Linked DNA regions of Caenorhabditis elegans. The protein of the gene in region 1 interacts with the protein of each later gene in a pairwise test. Each region holds a gene or a part of one and is shown on either strand. Other genes may lie near its edges.

The links. The genes of interacting proteins can lie anywhere in the genome.
Region 2: the proteins of abu-15 (region 1) and appg-1 interact in a two-hybrid assay, tested with the Caenorhabditis elegans proteins (one large-scale study listed by BioGRID).

What each region holds. Positions count from the first base shown.
Region 1 is NC_003283.11:5,156,641-5,160,424, reverse strand, and holds abu-15 (Activated in Blocked Unfolded protein response), read right to left. Parts: upstream 1,824-3,784; 5' UTR 1,803-1,823; coding exon 1,578-1,802; intron 1,531-1,577; coding exon 589-1,530; 3' UTR 518-588; downstream 1-517. Other genes in the region: srx-39 (G-protein coupled receptors family 1 profile domain-containing protein), read left to right, coding at 2,665-2,703, 2,746-2,906, 2,972-3,195, 3,240-3,451, 3,494-3,624, 3,667-3,772.
Region 2 is NC_003280.10:10,324,482-10,329,325, reverse strand, and holds the start of appg-1 (Activated in Blocked Unfolded protein response), read right to left. Parts: upstream 3,033-4,844; coding exon 2,964-3,032; intron 1-2,963. Other genes in the region: idpp-4 (Intrinsically Disordered Protein, expressed in Pharynx), read right to left, coding at 4,633-4,782.

The sequences.
Region 1 (3,784 bases):
AAAATGGAAAACATTTTTGATATATCGCTATAAAGTTATCACTCGCAAGTATTATCAGAAAAAGTATGTAGCAATTTTAATTGTAAGCTAAAATAAATTTTAACTTCTAAGGTCGTATTACATTTTTCGTAATGAAGGAACAGTGTGGTAGTGAAACACGTAAAGTCGTGAACCTAAACGATTTGAAACTAAATTGAATTTAAAATACTTCATCAGTGAGCTTTTTTTTTTTAATCTCTAGTTTCTAAACTCCTGCTGGCGAGCTAGAAAATTCTTGTAAATCTAACTTTTCTATAAATATTTCTTTGATGAGAGCATTTTTCAATGAGTACAGAAATAGATAGAACATACGTAAACCTGTATCAATGCCAACTGAACAAATGTTTATGAGATTTTCTAAAAATGTAGTCGAAGAAGAGACGCTAACAGTTTTTAAATAAACATGTTGTGTTTCGAAAACAACTGGTTTATTCTGGTTATTTTTATGTCACGTCAGATTTTTAAAGCGAGAAGGTTTAAAAAGTTATGCGTTTATTGAAACTGAATTGTTTCGGTATATACAAAAATCAAGAATCAGGAACAATTAAATTACTTTCTGCGGCAGCATTGTCCATTTCCGCATGGAGAGTAGTTAGCTTGGCAAGAGCAGGAGCTCTGTTGTGGGCTCTGCTGGCAGGCAGTAGTTGCTGGTTGAGCAGCTTGGCATGAGTTAGAGCATGATGATTGGCAGGCAGTTTGGCACTGGGCAGCTGGCTGTTGTTGCTGAACACATTGCTGTTGGCAGGATTGTTCGCATTGTGGGGCACATTGGGATGATTGAGCAACAGAAGTCTGGAGAACAATCTGGATGACTTGAGCTGGAGCTTCAGTGGTGGTGTCGTATGGTTGGTACATTGGCTGAGTCTGCTGGGAAGTGCAGGAGTTGTCGCAGGCTGGTTGGCAAGCTGGAGCGCAGTTAGCGTTCTGGTTGGTGTTGGTATTGTATGGGTTGTACATTTGAGTGTTGGTGTTCTGGTTCATGTTCTGGTTGTAGACTTGTTGGGTAGCCTGAGCAGTTTGTTGGCAGATATCAGAGCATTGAGTGTTGCAAGCTGGCTCGCACTGGTTGGATTGTTGCTGTTGCTGGACACATGAAGATTGGCATTGTTGCTGGCACTGTGGTTGGCATTGAGCTTGAGCTTGTTGGATCTCGAGTTGGATTTGGATCACTTGTGGGGCCTGGGTGGTAGTGGATGGGGAATCACAGGCAACATTGCATTGTTGTTGGCATTGTGGCTGACATTGAGCTGCTGGTTGTTGTTGTTGAACACAGGTAGATTGACATTGCTGTTGGCATACTGGTTGGCACTGTTGGTATTGGACAACTGGAGCTTGGGTGGTGGTAGTAGTGGTTGGTGGGTTGTACATTGGAGTGCATTGAGCCTGGCACTGTTGCTGACATTGTGGCTGGCACTGGGACACTGATGGAGAAGCCTGGCATTGCTGTTGGCAGCTCTGTTGGCAAGCTGGGGCGCATTGAGTAGATTGAACCTAAAATTTTTGATTTAATGGTTTGCGAATATGTTAATGAACTGTACCTGAACTTGTTGAGTTTGTTGTGGCTGAGCGCATGAGCAGGATGGGGATTGTTGTTGAACTGGAGCAGATTGGCACGAGCATGACTGAGTCTGTTGAACTTGTTGGCACGAGCATTGGCTCTGCTGTGGCTGAGCACATCCACACTGTCTCTTTTCACGGATTGCACTTCCAGATACCACAAGGGCACATGCAAGGAACGCAATAGAAAGTGAAGTAAAGCGCATTTTAATAATGATTCGAACCGAGGAAATCGGATGGTAATGAAGCTCTGTTCTTCTCTTTTATATGACTTTTCCAGCTGCTCAGTAAACCGGTTCCAGTTCCTAATTTCCTGATCCTCTTCTAAATGTGACTCTCTCTTGCGGCCGCGCGCAAAAGCGTTCGCCTAAAGCTTCAAGTAAGCTATCGAGTCACTAAAAAACTCCGAGCTAATACAGGAATAAATTGTAGTATTGCGCAAGCAAAGAAGAGAGGTCTTGTTTGAGTTTGCTCTATGACCTTGTTCACGCAAGGTTCGCACATGAGAACTAGTTTTCAAGGGCAAACAGCGATAAGCAATCTATTTTTATAAGATTTATCTTTTAATTTTGTTTAAATTTTTGAACCGTTCTAGCTAATCGAAAATCAAAAGAATCAATGAACCACATAGACACGTAGACATGTAAGAACGACAAATTTCGACTCTAATTTAATTTACATGATTTGTCATGCATGACATAAGTTGGTTTTCAGACCCGAACATTTTTTCGATTTGATTGTATAGAGCTACAGTGGTTGCTGCCTCGCTTCTGGGATTTCCTAGCTTCCGGGATCTCTAGAGTTTGAAATTTTAGTTTTGAACTCACTTTGAAACACATTTCAAAGTTTAAAAAATTAGGTATAAAAACATTTAGTTAATAGCCTAACGGATTTTTTAAAAATAAATTGTATCTATGCGAAATGTGAAAGAAACTATGTTTGTATTGTAGCTGAACGCCACCGGCCCAGGTGACTCGAGCCTGACAAGAAAGTTTCAATTTTTCCAGATATTTCTCTCTCATTCATAACATTAACTTTTTCATTTCCTGTTGGCTGCAAATTACAATCATGATTTCCGTGACAACAATCTCTGCAATTATGCTTTTGGTAAGATTTTATTGTAGCTCAAACAAATTGATGTACCTTCAGTTTTCCCTCTGTGGATTTACAATAAATTGGGCAATTGTGATTATAATGATAAAAGTTACAAAGTTGCAAAAACCATTTGCAATTTTAACTGTTGGTCTAGCGATTGCTGATGGAACATTTTCCGCGCTCTACTTATTCTATGCAACTCCAATGGTATTTTTGTAAGTTGAACAAGTTTTTTTTTTCATTCAGCGAGGCCAACAGTTAAAATAAAAATTCCATTCAGCGAGAGCGATATTTTATCAAATTATTCGAGTGTTTGTGGATATGTTCTTATGATTTGCTACAGTGCTTCAACAACTTTTCATTTCATGATATCCCTTAACAGAATTCTAGCAGTGTATAAACCAATGCTTTATCGTATGATGTTTAGTGTTTTGTTCACGTTTTGTATAGTAATGGGAATTTATTCCTACGCACTTACAATCATAACACTATTTTTTCAAATTTGTAGGTTAGTTTAATGTCAACTAAAATTGACGGGAGAGTTGCAGTGGGATGTCAAAATTTTTATGACCAAGAAACAAGAGCATTTCGTTATTCTGGAGGAGACGTTTGTCGTTTTTATGCAACTTATTTAGACTTTTATCTTGTTTTTTCATTGACTATTTCCAGTACTATTTTGGACTTTTTAGCTATCGGAAAAGTGTTAAAAATTAGCTCAAAAACAGAAAAGCACTCAAAAGAACTTAGCTTGTTGAAACAGGTAATATTGATCTTTATAGATTGTTTTAAATAATAATTTCAGTCCATAAGCCAAACTCTATTTGTTCTTGCAATCGTTTGTAGTTTTACTTGGGGTCCGCGTTTTATTCCAGACATTGATTACACCTTTATTTTCTCTTCTATTCTCTGGTCTTCAGTGCATATGTTTGATGGGTAATTGTAAATATTCTAAATACTCAAAAAGTTCTAATTTAGGTTTTTCACATTGATTTTCAATCCAGAAATCCGAAGGAGCTGTTCCAGAAGCGGCCAGCCACTGGCATTCAACGTTGTTAGATCGAAATCGGCTGCATTGGATTAAGAATAGAGGTCT
Region 2 (4,844 bases), on another chromosome or scaffold:
TTCTAATCCGAAAAGGCTGTAATTAAGATTTATGACGGGACACTTTAGGGTTACTGTAGTAGTACGGTATGAATGCTGTAGCAGTACTGTTGCAAAATTTATCTTGAATGCTACTGGTGCTACTGTAACATTGTGGCTGGGTACGGTAGGGGTACGGTAACAGTGTAAACAGTTGTACTACTGTGTAAAAAGACACATTTTCCCAACAAATGCCAATTTAAAGTATGTCAAGTCATAGAAATTCTAACTTAAAGTTGAGTTGGTTGATGATTAATTAACAAATAGAACATCAATTTATACTGTTACCGTGACCCTCCCTGTTGGGTATCAACGTGTATTGACCCACGACGTGGCTAAGAAGATCGTGCAACGTGAACTCTATGAACTAACTTATTTATTCCTTAGTTTAGTAATGTAATAAACTACTCGTCTTCTCTCCTCGTCTCGCCTTCGAATACACAACACTCCCGTACTGTAATCCGTACTGTAATGTAGAGTAATCCAAACGAACAATAGTTTTCAAATAGATAAAAATTTTAGGAACTTCTTGTACAGAGAAATCAAAAAGAGTTGAATTTTGCTTTTCAATTTTGAAGTAATTTCCAAAATGTGAGGTTACCATTTTATTTTTTATCTAGTTCCATTTGCTCAAAGGAGACCGTTAATTTTCCCTCCAACCAAATACGGAAATCGCTGATTTTATTATTACGTAGTGCAACAAAACTCTTGAAAAGGTGACAATTGATAAGTGGGCCCCCTTATCACCTTTCCTTATCCCACACACACACATACACACACACATTTCCTTGGCGATATCATTCTCGAATATCGGATATCCGATTTCCCGGTTGGTCATTCATCTATTGACTCTTTTAAGACGACGCCCCCGGTAATCAAACATTAGGACTTGGTGGGGCGAACTATTGCGTGTGTGTGGGTCTGAGGCGGTTTCGGCAATATACCTGGAGATTTTGTGGATTTTCAGATAAAAAAGTTTACGGGAGGTAAGATACATAATCAAGATTTGGCAGCATGAAAAAATGTTCAGTTCAAATTTTTTCAAAGTTTGGAAATTCTTTAGCCTTCCCGGTGAACTCGGGATTTTGGATCAACTTTCTGCAAACAATTAGGCAATTTCTAAAGATATGATCGAATAAGTTGCTGGAGGTAAGTTCCTGGAAAAGATTCTCATCAGGAAAATGTCAGAAAATTGCAAAAAGCTTGACAGAAAGTTACGCTATTTCGAGGAAGCTGCGGGGTTTTTACTGAATTTTAATTGAGAATGTACCAGAGCCAAGAGACTATGTGTGAACAATAAATATTTGGATCCAATAAAAATTGAAGCATAAGCTATAGTTAAAAAAAACTAATTTTTTATTGATGTCTAGTAATTTTAGTAATCCAAAAATGGAAGGATCTTCCGGTTTTCGAATTACGGTTTCTCGCAACAATATCGGTTTCAAAACAGATGTTTCCTGTTTCCGCTTTTTCCATTTTTGTGCATCCCTTTGTTAATTCACCATCCCATGAAGAAGAAGAAGAAGAAACATTCTAAATTTTCAAATGTTTTCTCCTTCTCACCCAATTTCCATTTCACCAGACATTTTGTGTGTATGACGGGGTCATGATGTTAAAGAATTGGGAGAAAAACCGAATCTTTTTCTCTCTCTGGCGAATGGGTGTTTACTTTCTGTTTTCATTGTGTTCACCTTTGCCTGACAATAGAAACAAACTCTCGCGCAACACAGAGACCTTGGAGCCAGTGGAAATGGACGAGACGCCGACTAAATTGAAATAGAAACCTTCGTTTGACTGTCTTGGAATGAGCAGGCTTTTTGGGAAGAAAACTCGATTTGGAATAAAAAGAAGAGGAATCGGGTCAAAGAATCGGGGCGGAGTTTTGTCAAAATTCTTTAGACTTTGGCCCATGTGAATCAAAATGTTTCGAAATAAAGTTGGGTTAATGCATGATTTAATGGTGAGTTTGTCTAGAGCAATATTTAGTAGCATTTTTACCAGACACTCAATGTAGGCATTAAACTCGACTTGAAAGTGACCTACTACATTCATACCATGCTTTTTGCAGTCGACTACAAAAATACTGTAGGCGCACAGGTAGGCATCAATGTCACAGAGCCGGTATACTAACATGACTCGTTTTTCCAAGATTGTCTCCTTGTAGTTTTGAAATAATGGATTATGGTAAAACTGAACCGTCAAAACCAAATTGGAACCATTCTCAAATTGAATTTTTTTACAAGTTTTTTATTTTTCCTACAATTAGAATAAAATTGCTCCCAAAAGGTCAAAACAATTTTAATTTATTTTTTGATTAATCTGTTAGAGAGAAAGTCTGCAATTGTTAGAATTCACTAGCTGCAAAATTAAAAAAAAATGTTGCGTCATCAAATTCTAGTTTCAAACCCATCAATTGTTCCCACAACATAAAATATTGTAGGGATAGACTAATTGAAGTTTTGTAATCTTCAAAAATGTACTTTCAATAGAATTATTTTTTCGAAAAAATAGAAATCCATAGAAAATGATTTTCAGAAATTGCAGAGAACTAATTTTTTCTAATACTGATAAAAACGGTATTTTCACAAAATTTAAAACTTGCAACAAAGACTCTTAAAGAAACACAATCTAGTTTACAAATTATGTTACAGACATTGAAGGCTTGTTACCTAATGTTCGATACAGTTAATACCAAAGTTCACACCCAAAATAAAGATTTACCAAACCAAAGTAAGCTAATAAGAGATGGTTCGTATAAAATAAGTTATAAAACTCTTTAATTTTGTGAGAAGACAAATATCTGACTAATTAACAGTGGTTGACCGCAAAAGTTTCAAAAGGATTTTAATTAGTCCAGTTTACCGAGCAGGTCAAGTTACGAGCAAACAATTCAAAAGCAAATAAAGTCAAAGTAACTACCAACAAAAAACCAAAAATAAACTCACCGCAGCAGTAGAAAGTGCCAAAAGAAGGCAGAATAAGAATAGTAGCCGAAGAGAATTCGAGCGTCCCATCGGGAAGATTTTATGATTGATTCCTAATTCTCAGATCCAGGAGGGATTGGATTACTGTATATGAATTTAAGTGATGAACAATATGAATAAGAGTACGGATACAAGATTATTAACAGACAGAAATGGTATATAATAAGTCTTCACACACACACACACAAATCCTTCAAAATCTATTTCTCACTCTGCTTCTCTCTTACTGCTTGAAGAGCTCTCCGGAGGGGGCGATAGGAGGGCGGTAAAAGCTTCGCGGAATGCGCGCTCAGAGGCGGAGCATTTCCGCGCGGCAAAAAGGACAGCCTGACGCGTTGGTGCTCCTGCTGGACGAGAGAGCCCCCATGGCTTCCCAAGGCAATTTTTGAATCCTGTTTGTTTGTATTTCGCCATGTACAAATTGTCAATGTATGTTCGTTGTTGGCCGCTTGAATCGACTGGAGAGCTACCCGAACTTTTTGCGGGGAAGGAAATCGGCACTAATTTGGAGAGTTCGGAAAGGACGGAAGGGGGTCATCCTCTTGTCTGTTCCACCGATGTTTGTTTTTTAGAATGGGGGCATGCTTGAGAAGAAAGGACATTGTGTGATTAAGCTGGTGATTAGGATGATTATTGATGAGCATACATTGATGATTGTAGTGGCAGGAAAAAGCAAAGGGGTGAACCAAATTGGGATTGTTTCGATGAAGATAGTGACGGAGGTTTCAATTTGATACAAATTTAAACGGAAATTATAAGTTTTTTCGTTGTCGTTGAACTAGAAATGCTGAGATATTGTGTTCTGTACTAATTTAGAACTTACAGAATATAAGTACTGATTTAAAAATACAGACTAGTAAAGTAGTTTAAATATTCCATTTTGGTTGGAATAGGAGGCCGTTTATAAATGTATCTTTTTGTTTATTTTGCCAGTTTTATTGATTTGCTAAGATTTGAAGGAGTACCGAAAATTGGGACAATGCCCTATTAGACTTGAAGGTATCAAATGGCCTGAAATTCGCAATGAGACGTCTTGAAATTTTCCAATAACTTTTTTATGGCGGTTCACATTATTGAGGGAACATGCATATTTTCAGCTATCATTCCAAGTTTCCCAACTGTCTAGACTCTTCACGGAAAAACGTGCAATTGATTTTGCATTCAATCACCATATTTCAAATGTCTCGGCAACTTTTTTATTCAACTGAAATAAATAAAGATGTTTGAACAAACGGAGTCCTGATAGTGAGCTCAATAGAATTTTAGCTCTAACATATTTGGACCAACTTAATTTCAAGTGATAAATGTAATAATTTTCTTGTATGGGAACTTTCGAAATGATACATGTCAATTTGTATTCTGATTGTATTTTCTTTACACAATTAATTATTGTATCAAAGTACAAAAATATATATTGGGATTTTGGATGTTTTAAATTGGGATGGCCGACTTGGCGTTCATAAAAATAATGGCTTGTTGAATTCAATACGTTTTATTCGCTACATACATTGACTAACTCGTCAAATTGCAAATTACCATAAAATCTTAAATTACTCCCAAAAACATTAGAATACTGATGGTACATAAATAAATACAAAATAATCGAATCAATAAATAAATAATTGATTATTCACTGACGATGAGCAAAATCTTCAGTTCGTTGATTTTTCGTTTCTTTCATGCGACGACGCATTTTCGATTGGCATACTGGGTAACAAGTCGTTTGGCAAGCTGCCATACAGTTCGGATTGTTAGGAAGACATTGGTGCTCACATTGGACCTGAAAAATTAAGGTTGGATCAGGTTTCACAGAACTTTTTTAGGAGGTAAAAAATTGGGATC